Rhinolophus ferrumequinum: one gene and its partners. The protein of the gene in region 3 interacts with the protein of the main gene of each other region in a pairwise test. Links are inferred from orthologs where the notes say so. Each region holds a gene or a part of one and is shown on either strand. Other genes may lie near its edges.

The links.
Region 1: the proteins of ZNF24 (region 3) and ZNF446 interact in binary tests that used the Homo sapiens proteins (3 or more experiments, as listed by UniProt). The link is inferred for Rhinolophus ferrumequinum from reciprocal best matches to the Homo sapiens genes ZNF24 and ZNF446.
Region 2: the proteins of ZNF24 (region 3) and LMO2 interact in binary tests that used the Homo sapiens proteins (3 or more experiments, as listed by UniProt). The two-hybrid records come from large-scale screens. The link is inferred for Rhinolophus ferrumequinum from reciprocal best matches to the Homo sapiens genes ZNF24 and LMO2.

The regions. Positions count from the first base shown.
Region 1 is NC_046298.1:50,937,364-50,941,109, forward strand, and holds the start of ZNF446 (zinc finger protein 446), read left to right. Parts: upstream 1-1,499; 5' UTR 1,500-3,746. Other genes in the region: zinc finger protein 324A, read left to right, coding at 1-914. UniProt on the Homo sapiens protein: May be involved in transcriptional regulation.
Region 2 is NC_046294.1:23,930,857-23,934,602, forward strand, and holds the start of LMO2 (rhombotin-2), read left to right. Parts: upstream 1-1,007; 5' UTR 1,008-1,285; coding exon 1,286-1,292; intron 1,293-1,424; coding exon 1,425-1,653; intron 1,654-3,746. UniProt on the Homo sapiens protein: Acts with TAL1/SCL to regulate red blood cell development. Also acts with LDB1 to maintain erythroid precursors in an immature state.
Region 3 is NC_046302.1:29,354,422-29,358,167, reverse strand, and holds the start of ZNF24 (zinc finger protein 24), read left to right. Parts: upstream 1-986; 5' UTR 987-1,135; intron 1,136-3,001; 5' UTR 3,002-3,080; coding exon 3,081-3,500; intron 3,501-3,677; coding exon 3,678-3,746. UniProt on the Homo sapiens protein: Transcription factor required for myelination of differentiated oligodendrocytes. Required for the conversion of oligodendrocytes from the premyelinating to the myelinating state.

The DNA of each region.
Region 1 (3,746 bases), on a different chromosome or scaffold from region 3:
TCCCAGGAGAGAAGACCTTCGAGTGCAGGGCGTGCAACAAAGTCTTCGTGAAGAGCTCCGACCTGCTCAAGCACTTGCGCACGCACACCGGGGAGCGGCCCTACGAGTGCGGGCAGTGCGGCAAGGCCTTCAGCCAGACATCGCACCTGACGCAGCACCAGCGCATCCACAGCGGTGAGACGCCCTACGCGTGCACGGCCTGCGGCAAGGCCTTCCGGCACAGCTCTTCGCTTGTGAGACACCAGCGCATCCACACGGCTGAGAAGGCCTTCCGTTGCGGCGAGTGTGGCAAGGCCTTCAGCCACGGCTCCAACCTCAGCCAGCACCGCAAGATCCATGCGGGCGGGCGGCCCTATGCCTGCGCGCGGTGCGGCCGCCGCTTCTGCCGCAACTCGCACCTGATTCAGCACGAGCGCACGCACACAGGCGAGAAGCCGTATGCCTGCGCGCTCTGTGGGGCCGCCTTCAGCCAGGGCTCCTCACTCTTTAAGCACCAGCGCGTGCACACGGGCGAGAAGCCCTTCACTTGCGCGCAGTGCGGCCGCGCCTTCAGCCACAGCTCCAACCTCACGCAGCATCAGCTGTTGCACACGGGAGAGCGGCCCTTCCGCTGCGGGGACTGCGGCAAGGCCTTCGCCAAGGGTGCCGTGCTGCTCAGCCACCGGCGCATCCACACAGGTGAGAAGCCGTTCGTGTGCGCACAGTGCGGCCGCGCCTTCCGCGAGCGCCCGGCTCTCTTCCACCACCAGAGGATCCACACGGGCGAGAAACCCATGCGGAGGCTCAGGGCCACGGCCGGCCTGAGCTCCCAGGCCAAGCCTCCGGAGGCACCCTCAGCTGGCACGCCTGGGAGGGAAGCCAGGCCCACTTCCAGCTCAGGCCCAGCCACCGTGCCGAAGCCAGCTGAGGCCTGAGGTCCCAGCTCCCCTGTTTCCGATCTCTCCTGAGTCCTTTCCACAGCTAACGGGCCGTGTCCTTTGAAAATCCACACTCTGGAGAAGCTCTGTGCGCACTCTGCAATTCCATCTGTATGTGGTGACAGGATTTGCCACTTCAGCCACAGCTGACTCCATCCCCAAGAGGTCAGGCTGCGGAAAGGTCAGGAGGAGGGAGATGGAGGCTGGGACTTTGGTGAGGCTGAAACATTGCAGAGCCAGTGGCAGGACAGCAGGGCGGCGCCACTGCTCTCATGTCGTGACTGAACACTAAGAGGAGGGCAGTGCCGGGATGGAGTGGAGGCAGGCCGAGAAATTTTTTACACATTCAGGATATTACCCCCAGGTCTGGATTCATCCAAGGCTTCCTGGGAGCTGGCCCAGTGGACGAGAGGTCATGTGGGGGGTTGGGTGCTGGCCCTGGGTAAATGGCTGGGCTCTGAGCCTCAGCTTCCTCCTCTGGGGGAAAGAAAGAGAAAAAAGGGATTTCATCCTACAGAGGGTATTTGCCATACCCTGACAGACAGGCTCTTGATAAGGCCAACATGTGCCAAGTGCCAGCCCCTGTGAGGTGGCTGCTGTGGCTGGTATCCCCACTTCTCGTAGGAGGAAACTGAGGCACAGAGGCACAGAGAAGGGGTGTGAATTGCACACAGTACAGCCAGGCCTGGCATCCAGACAACTTACCACTGCACACCTACGCTCTAATCAGCTCGCTGTGAGGGCTGAGTGAGGCCTGGCCTGGCTCCCTGAGCATGGCTGACCCATAGGAGGTGGAGGTCCGCAGGGGAAAGACAGATGGAGAATGATGGCTCCCTAACCACAGTCGTTCCAATTCTCATCCAAGCCTCAGCATTTCCATGTCCTATTACCAAAGTCAACTTGATAGGAGCCTTTACACCCCACTGTCCTGACAGGAGGTGACTGAAGTGACAGGTTCAGAGGACACAAGATAGGGCTGCTCATTTCTGCAGGGCCCAGGGGCCACATGCCTACCTGTTCTCTGCCCATATGAGGTGCCCTCCTGAGATCCCCGCTCAGTGTGACACCTCCACACAGCGGGAACACTGAGGTAGACAGGTGCGTGGGTGCCCAGTTTACTTCCTGTGGCCCTTAGCAGACTGAGGCCCATTTTGACTTTGGCCTCATGTCTAGGGAAGTTAATGGTCTTTTTACTGGGAAAAAAAAGACGAAGTTACAACTTGGAACGGGCATATATTGTAAATTCTTGCACAGCGCTGTGGAATTCCACAGCTTCAGCCTCCCTTCCCACCCGAGTCCAGAGAGGCTCCCTGATAAAGGTTTCTTTTTAAAAACGTGTGAATGGTAACAGCCTGATTTCACCCTAGCACAGTGCAGACGTGCCCTCAGGGCATATCATTGTCACAGAGCTGTGGGGACTTGGCTTCAACCTGGGTCCCTTTGAGAAGCCACAGGGAAGAGATGCAGCCTGTCTGTGGCCCTGAGGGGTTGGGATACCTGTGTCCCCTTGGCAGCCAGAGGTGGGTGAGGGGCCGCAGGAGACCTGGGTAGGTCTAGTAGGAGTTGGGCCTTTGTGGATTCAAGCTGTGGAATCTGAGTCAGGGGCCATCACAACCAAGACCTCACAGCCATCTGCCATACAGAGTGAGCACAGACATGATCTCCCTACTCCCCCACCTTCCAGCAGGACCTATCTTCCCCAGGAACCTCACAAGTTCCTACAAGGAGGGCAGACTTGGAGGTATGGAGAGGAGTCATGCAGGACCCAGCTCCCCAAGACCCTTCAAGGGCAGGTCCTCCGAGCCAGGCCTCCTGGTACCCTGTGGGCCCTTGAGCCATAGTCCGCCCTTCCTGGACTCATCCTCTCTGCTCTGCTCTGGTCGACACCCTCACCTTTCCGCAGGCTGTCTTCCATGGGGCAGCCTTGAACATGTCACATCCACCTCAGTCTGCACAGCTGTGTAATGCAGACACCCTCACCCTGCTGAGGACTTTTCTGGGGACCCATAGGATTCAGGAACAAAAACATCTGTCAAACTGCAAGTGGGTACCCAGAATCACATGCAACCTTTTCTGCACTTGGGACACACATGGGAGCCCAGTTTCCACCCTGAGCCCTCCAGACCACTCATGCTGGGCCTGATGCCCTTTCCTGTCTACTGACCAGCCGCCTCCTGTTTTCCTTGAGCTCCTCTTGGGTAAGGCCCTGGTTCTCTGTTCTTCCACCAATCCACCCCTCCCAATATCCAGGACTGGTCAGTGGCCTCCACCCTGTTCCTGTGGGAACAGCAACCATAAGCACCTTCCTTCACCCATGTCTTGAGCACCCAACTTCCCCCTAAGTTACTTTCCCCCAAACCTCTGTGGTATGTTGGGCCCTGTACTGCCAGACTGGCTGTTCTTAACCCTGAACAAGCTGTGAGTGTAAGTGTCCCTGGGCTTTCTGGGTCAAGATGGTGAACTGAATACATGCTTCTCACTTGGTTCAGAAGCCCACTGAAACCAGAGTTTAAAACACATCCTGTGGGTTGATGAGGAGAATGGTGAAAGAGGAGGCAGTTACAATGGTATTTTGAACCCAGGTGGGGATGCAAGAGCTGTTACTGACTTATGGCAATTCAGATAATGAGTTGCTACTGGACGAAGTAGACGGAAGTACCACCAGCCTTATGCTGCAGAACTTCAGAAAGCTTGAAAATCAGCCACCTCCCGGGAGGGGAGACCTAAAATATGACGGGTGGGAGAATACTGGAGAAAGCTGTAAGAGCTTCAGCTCTATCTACATGGTGGATGGTGGGAGAGTCATTTCTGGGGAACCCACACAGTCCA
Region 2 (3,746 bases), on a different chromosome or scaffold from region 3:
ATTTGTGACTGGTGTCATGTACAAATAGGCATTTAATAATAATTTCTGAATGTGATCATTTTCAAGGAACTCTGATGAGGCCCAAGGGACCCAAAGTTTTTCTCTAACAGAGAGCAGACTATTGGCCTCATCTTCTCCCCTTCTGCATTTCTGCCTCTTCCTAGAATTTCTCCCTGAGGTTGGAGGGGAAACCTGAACTTCAAAATCAAGTCTGGCTTCTTCCCTTTCCCTGACCCGAGGCAAAATAGTCTCTTGATCATTGCTCTTGATCATTGGAAAGGCACTTTCTCTGTGCAGAGTATTACTGGCACTTTATAGGGGGCCGGTTTAACCGCAGGAGTCCGATTTTTAAAAGATGCTGAGGGAGGGAATTCTGCTGCCAGCAGATGGAAAGGAGACTCAGAACAGCTTGGTCCCTCCCAACCACCCTCCCTCCGGGATTAGCTGCCCTGACACTGCTCTGGCGTACCCAGCCCGTGTGGTCCCTGCTCGCACAGTTCCAGCCGCCTGTCTAGAGCGCGCACGCAGTCACAAGCCCGCAGCCAGCAGAGCCGCGCTGTCCCGGGCATCCCCGCGCACCGCGTCGGCGGACCTGGGACCTCGAACCCCGGACGCGCGCGAAAGCCATTCGGAACGCTTGCATTTCTGTATGTGCTTATTTCACATTCTTGTCTTTTCTTTCTTCCCTGAGCGGCCCGCTTGTTACTTTCAGTCTTAGTTAGCCAAAAGGGAAACGCCGAAGAGGGGAAGCCCTGAGAATTGATTTAGAGGCAACCCAGCCGCCTCTCCAAGGAGAGGTGTTCACTGAGCGACTCTCCCCGTCCCCGACGCGGGCCCCTTTAAGAAGCCAAGTCTGTCCTGCTGCTGCTGCTACTGTTTGTATTGCAAATCCCCAGGAGCCCCGTTTAAAAAAAAAAAAAAGGAAGAAAAAAAGGGAGGGGGGGGACCGGGCAGCTGTCTCTTTAAATGTGATTTCCTTCTATTGTATTTGAATCGTGATCAGGAAAAAGGAAATGAAACCAGAGACAGAGGGAAGCTGAGCGAAAATAGACCTTCCCGAGAGAGGAGGGAGCCGGGGAGAGAGGCAAGGTCCCCTCCCCGCCCCCAGGCCGCCGCCCCCTCCTTGCCCTCTGCGGCGAGCTGCGCGCCGCGACCCGGGCTGAAGGTGCGAGGGGCGAGGGGCGGCCGGGCGGGCGCGCACCATCCCCGCGGGCGGCGCGTCGCCGGGGACAGCGCGCGAGCCGAGCCGAGCCGAGCTGGACCGGGTGGCGGCGGCGGGACCGGGATGGAAGGTTAAGTCCTGAGCAGCAGCTGCTGCTGCTGCTGCTGCAGCCGCCCCGGGCCAGGCTGCGCGCCCGGTTCCCCGCCTCGGCCGCGGCGCGCCGGCAGCTCGGTGATTCGCTCTCTCTCTTTGGCGTTTGAAGGGAGCGCGGTGACTGTCCTTGATCGCGGAGGGGCGAGCTCGCCGCCAGAGCGCCAGAGCAAGAGGAGGTGCAAGAGCGGCGGCGGCGGCGGCGCCCGAGCACCGGAGGGGGTCCGAGCCCCGGCAGCCGGCCAGCCCTGCGCCACAAAGGGAGCGCCTCCGCCGCCTGGCACGCCACCTCCCTCCCCAATGTCCTCGGCCATCGAGAGGAAGAGCTTGGACCCGTCTGAGTAAGTGTGGCGCTCCTGCCCCTGCCACCCACCGCGTCCACGGCCTCGCGCCCCGGGGCAGCAGGGTGGCGCCGGCGGCCAGCTAGAAGGCTCCAGGTGCGCGCCCGCAGCGTGCCCTTGGCTCACTCCGCCTTGCGCGGGGCTCCCCCTGGCTTGCGGGTGACTCCAGGGGCACTGGGAGAGTGGCTCGGCGGCAGGCGGCAGGGAGAGGAGGTCAGCCCGGCGCCTCTGTGGGCCCCTCTGGGCTACCTGGAACACTCCCAAAAGCCGCCGCGGGCCAGAAAGTTTACAGGGGAGCAGGCACAGCGGGGAGCTCGGAGGCGCGTAGGTGCCGTCCCGAGAGCGTTCAGGGCTTGATTCTTCCCCTTTTTCCCCACGAAGCTTGTTCTCAGCCCCCTTTCTCTTTGTCCATCTGGTCTTGGACAGGGGGACATTCCAAGTGGATTCACCCTGAGTCCCCACCGGCCCCCTTCCCGGCCCGCTGGTTGAGCAGTCGCCAGCACAGTCAAAGACGGGCGGATGAGGGCTGCGAGCGTCCACCTCGGAGCTCGCTTTGGCCTGCAGAGACTTTAGAGCAGCTAAATCCGGAGTTAATCTGGGTGCATGTCCCCCCTCCCCTCGGAGTCCACCGATGGGGTCCTTGTAAACCTCGAAAGTTAGTGCACATTTTGTGTATAGGTGAATTTTTCTGGGGAGCCGAGTCTTACATCTTTTATCACAGTCTACAAGGAGTCAGGGAGCCAGAGCTCTAACGACCGCTTGCCGCATTTGTTTCCTGAGCCTCTTACTGGTTTGAAGTGTTTCCCTATTCCCAACCTATCTACCTCCAGCTCATTCCTTGGTGTTAACAGGGGGAGAAAGGGTTGTTTAAGATATTTTCCCGTCAGCACAAATGCCCTTTTAAGATTCATTAGCTGTCTGGTTTTGAGAAATTTTATTCCTTTGAAGTCCCCCATCTAATCCTTTGAAGGGATTTGTTACACAGACCAAAGGAGCTGGTTAATGACTTGTCCATTTGTGCTTTTAAGAGGCATTTGTTTTGTTTTGTTTTCTTTTCTTTTCCTGCTTTAAAAGAATTGTGCTTTCCTGATTGAAGTTCTCCCCTCCCCCGCCCCCACTCCAGTTTCAGCCTTCTGTGGTGTTTATATACCTGGGTTTTACCCTCAGTTACCAGCATAAAAGCTCAGCGTGTTCTCATAAAACACAGGAAGTACCATGATCCAATGAGAATATAAACATCACTCTTCAATCTTGAAGGTTCAGACACCATTTCTATAAGGAGCTAGGTTTGTTCTAACAAAACCCAGCTTCCTTAAGTTCTCAGGAGAAAAATTATATATATATGCACAGACACTGGGTTTAAAGGGTGGTTTTCTCACTTTTTTTTTTTACAAACCTAGAATTACAACTTAGCTCTGGAGTTTTCAGAGCCTGAGCAAGACCACAGTAACGCAGTAAGTGAATTGGATGAATTGGTGCCTAATGCCTTTTCAAATAGCAGAACTTAGTCACTAATCTTTTTATTAGAAGATAAATCTGGAGGTTTTGGTGCCCTAAAGGAAGTTTGCTCTTTTCAAAGTTTGTGCTTTTCCACTAATATTAGAAAATGGAAACACCCTAACCTCATAGCACAACAGGCACACACTGAAGGGAGCTCATCTATTCCATCCTATGTGTCACTATTTGCCCAGTGAAGGCAGGTGCTGATGGAAGGTAGTTTTAAGAATTACTGCAGCACATTTTTTTCCCCTCACTCAGAAATTGTCGAGAAATTATCCCAGAAATCCAGGCTGACATGTATTTCAGGTATAATGTATAGGCTCTAGAAGAATATAAAATATTAATTTGAGGGTGAATCCCACTCGGTTATTGGCTTGGAACATCCACCAAAGATAATGTGATATTATCGTTAATTACAGAAAGACAGATAGAGCCAATATCTTAACCTGTTCTTTCCTGTCTCAGGCCATCACAGTAGCTTTTGCTTAACTTCTCTGCTGTGGAACCCTATCCTACCAGATGCTTTGTTGTGTACTCACTCAAAGCCCACTTGGGTTAGTGCGATCCACATCTCCAAATGACAGATAAAAACT
Region 3 (3,746 bases):
ATTGAGTTCTCTATGTACCTGGCAGTCAGCATCCTAGGATTAGGTGGGGATACTGCAGTGAACAAGACACAAGTTCTCTGCCCTTATGGGACTTACAGACAAAAACAAAAGAAAACGAAACAAAACACAGGGTGAGATGATGCTGCAAAGGATGCCGGGAGGAAAGGTGGGCAGTGAGACTGAGGACGCTGGGCCATGGTGAGCCTAAGCTGAGGTCAGATAGGGAAGGTAGGGAACAGACCACAGGGGGCCATGCAGGTGGATGTAGAGTTTTTATGTCATACTTAAGGCAGCGGGGATCCATTGAAGGCGTTTAAATAGGGAATGAAGTAGTTTGATTTACGTTATTAAATGATCACTCAGCAACTGTTTTATGGCATAAAATGTCCAGCCTGAAGTCAGAAGATGACCGTGCATTCTGCAAATTCAATGTTAGATCATTGCCAAAGCTCTAACATGTCTCATCTTGTTTCCCTAATAGATAAATTGGTTAAAATAAAGCTCTGTAGCTTAGCCAGTGGGAGCCAAAGGCTGGAGTCATGCTTTGGTTTCAAATTCTGCTTCCCATTTAATAGTTAATGAGCTCTTGGCAGGTTATTTACTTCTGCCTTAGTTATTTCAGCTGTGAAATGGGGATAATAAGTGGCTCCATCATAGGTTTTTGTGAAGATTAGTAACAATACACGTAAAGCATGGTGATGGTGCATGGCACAATGTAGTAAGCATTCATAAATATTACCTTTTATTACTTCTTTCAGAGGATTACTGTGAAGACGACATGAGAAAATGCATGTGAAAGGGTTTGTGAAACCGAACAGACTATCCTAACGGCAGAATTCTCTTTCTTTTCCTTGCCTTTTAAGCGGAACACAGAACATTGGGCTATCTGAGGAGAGAGGCACGAGGCCAAGCCAAACCTCAAAGCGGTCATTGTCGTTAGGCAGCCCCTCCCCCACCCGGAGCGCATCTCCATGGCAACGTGGGGCTTCGCCTCTCCCCGCCTCCTGGGGCCCGCAGACCGGAAGCAGCCCGCGCAGGGGGCTTCTGGGAAACTGCTTGTGAGCGGCGTTTCTGCGTCTGCCCTGGACAGCGAAGCTGCTAAGGTTCCTGAGCCGGAGGTTTGCGCCAGACTGAGGTAAAACCGTGACGGGGACGCTGGGCTAGGGGTTGCGGGCTGCTTGGCAGCAGCCAGCGAAGAAACCTGGCAGGTACCTTCCTCGGGTCCCCGGGAGGTGCGGCGCACAGGCCACGGTCTCGGCGCCCAGCAGTTGCGGGGCGTGAAGGGGCAGACGAAAGGCCAGCTCGGGCTTTGGGCACCCTCGGAGAGTTCTCCATCCTGTGTCCTCCGCGACCCTCGCCTTCCCCCTCCCCCATCTGCCGGTTTTGTTCTATTTCGAGGCGCTGGCGTCTCGCGGAGAGTTCTGGGACTCGTTTCGGGAGGAGGTGGGAGAGGGCGGGCCCTGCGCGGGAGCTGCCGGAACTTGTAGTTCCCCGGGCTGCGGACGGAAGTGCAGTGTCCCCGACGTTGTTGTGGCAGGGTGGCCTTTGGTCATCTGAAATACTCCGCCGCTACTGCGGAGAAGAGAGTTCGGGGGACGTCGGGGCGGGGACAGAGTTCGCAGCGGAACTCTGCAGGAGTGAGGTGGGGAGATGTGGAACGAGGCTGCCCACCCAAACACTGTCAGGACCGCGGGCCTGCCCTCCCGGCACCTCCTTCCCGTCCTTTGATCAGAGTGCGGGATAAGAACATAGAAGAGATTTCTTTCATATAGAATGCTTGAGCCATTGCGAAGGTAGCGTTCTGGAATAGGAAGGAACGAATCTGTTGGCTGAATCCTATTTGTAAGGCCACATTCCAGAGTAACCTTGTATGTGATACCTGCCTGATAAGATCTTTTCTGATCCCTGGTCTTCATCTGGATAGGATTACAGTTAAGTTTTTTTGAAATTAGTGGTTTTCACATTCTGGGCCCTGAACAGATAAATTGAGTAGCTGCATGTCTCATTCTTAATATGTGTTGTAAACAGTGCCACTGGCATGACTGTGCAAATAACTAAGGGAAGCATCAGAAGTAGCACAAGGTTTTCCCTGAAGGTAGAAGCTGGGAAAACTGTGAGTCATCTAGTATAAGGACAAGATTCAGGTCCACTGTAAGAAGTTACGGTGGTTGTGAGAGTCTCTTTTCTACGTAGAATTTGTGGTCATTAATGCCTGTAATGATAAGTTTAAATGTAGTTAAGGTGTGGGTGACTATAATATTTGCATTGTATGGCTCCGGGAGGCTAATTTTTTCCAACATTATGTTATCTTTTCCTGAGCAAGTGAATACTTTTTCACATATATTTTAAGTCTAGGGAGTTCTTAAACATTTAAAAATATCTTTCCACTTTAAAAAACACATTTGGTCTTAAAAATGTTTTCCTTAAGCAGATAATAAAAAAGTGTCCTTGTTTTTGAGTTGACCTAAGGTTGGCTGGGAACGCCAGTCTTGAATTGCAAATAAGGTGTTCCAGGGTCGAATGCATTTAGAAAACTCTGAGGTGGGCTGGTTCTTAACTTGGATTCTTTTGGTTATTGAAATAAGGTTTATTGCTTTTGTAGGTCAAACTTTAAAGGGCCAGATAGTAAATATTAGGTTTTTTAGGCCAGATAGTCTCTGTTACAACTACACAACTCTGCCACTGTGGTGTGAATTGTGAACAAATAAATAAAATTATTTGTGGACATTTTAATTTCATATTTTCACATGTCATGAAGTATTCTTTTGATTTTGTTTTCAACCATGTAAAAATGAGAAAACTATTCTTAATACAAGCATTGTACAAAAACAGGCAGCAGGCCAGATTTGGCCATGGGCTGTAGTTTGCCAACTTCTGGTGTAGGTTATTGATTGGAATTTTTAAACCAGTAAAAGAAGAAATATTTTTACTTCCTTTATTAGCATGTATCCAAATTCTTAGGATATTTGGTCATTTATAAATATATGTTTTTGTACCTCAGGAGAGACTGTGAAGAAAAGGAGTTATTTCCCAGAAGCCTGTATCCTGCCTTATCTTTTTTTGAAGTGTTATAAATCAGGATGTCTGCACAGTCAGTGGAAGAAGATTCAATACTTATCATCCCAACACCGGATGAAGATGAAAAAATTCTGAGAGTGAAGTTGGAGGAGGATCCTGATGGCGAAGAGGGATCAAGTATCCCCTGGAACCATCTCCCTGACCCAGAGGTTTTTCGACAGCGATTCAGGCAGTTTGGATACCAGGATTCGCCAGGGCCCCGTGAAGCTGTTAGCCAGCTTCGAGAACTTTGCCGTCTGTGGCTCAGGCCAGAGACCCACACAAAAGAACAAATCCTGGAGCTGGTGGTGCTGGAGCAATTTGTTGCCATCTTGCCCAAGGAGCTGCAGACTTGGGTTCGAGAGCATCATCCAGAGAATGGAGAGGAGGCAGTGACGGTGCTGGAGGACTTAGAGAGTGAACTAGATGACCCTGGACAGCCGGTGAGCCTGCTTGTGTCACTTTTCCTGGGTGAGAAGCACTCACATAGCAGTGGGCAAGGCTGCTTGAAACAACTCCGCTCAACTACAGTATATGTTTTGTATGGTTTCTCTTATGTGTGTTTAGCTCTAATTTTCATAAAATTCCTCATCAACTGAATCAAATCTTGTTATTTCCAGGTTTCCCTCCGTCGACGAAAACGGGAAGTGCTAGTTGAGGAGATTGTATCTCAAGAAGAAGCTCAGGGA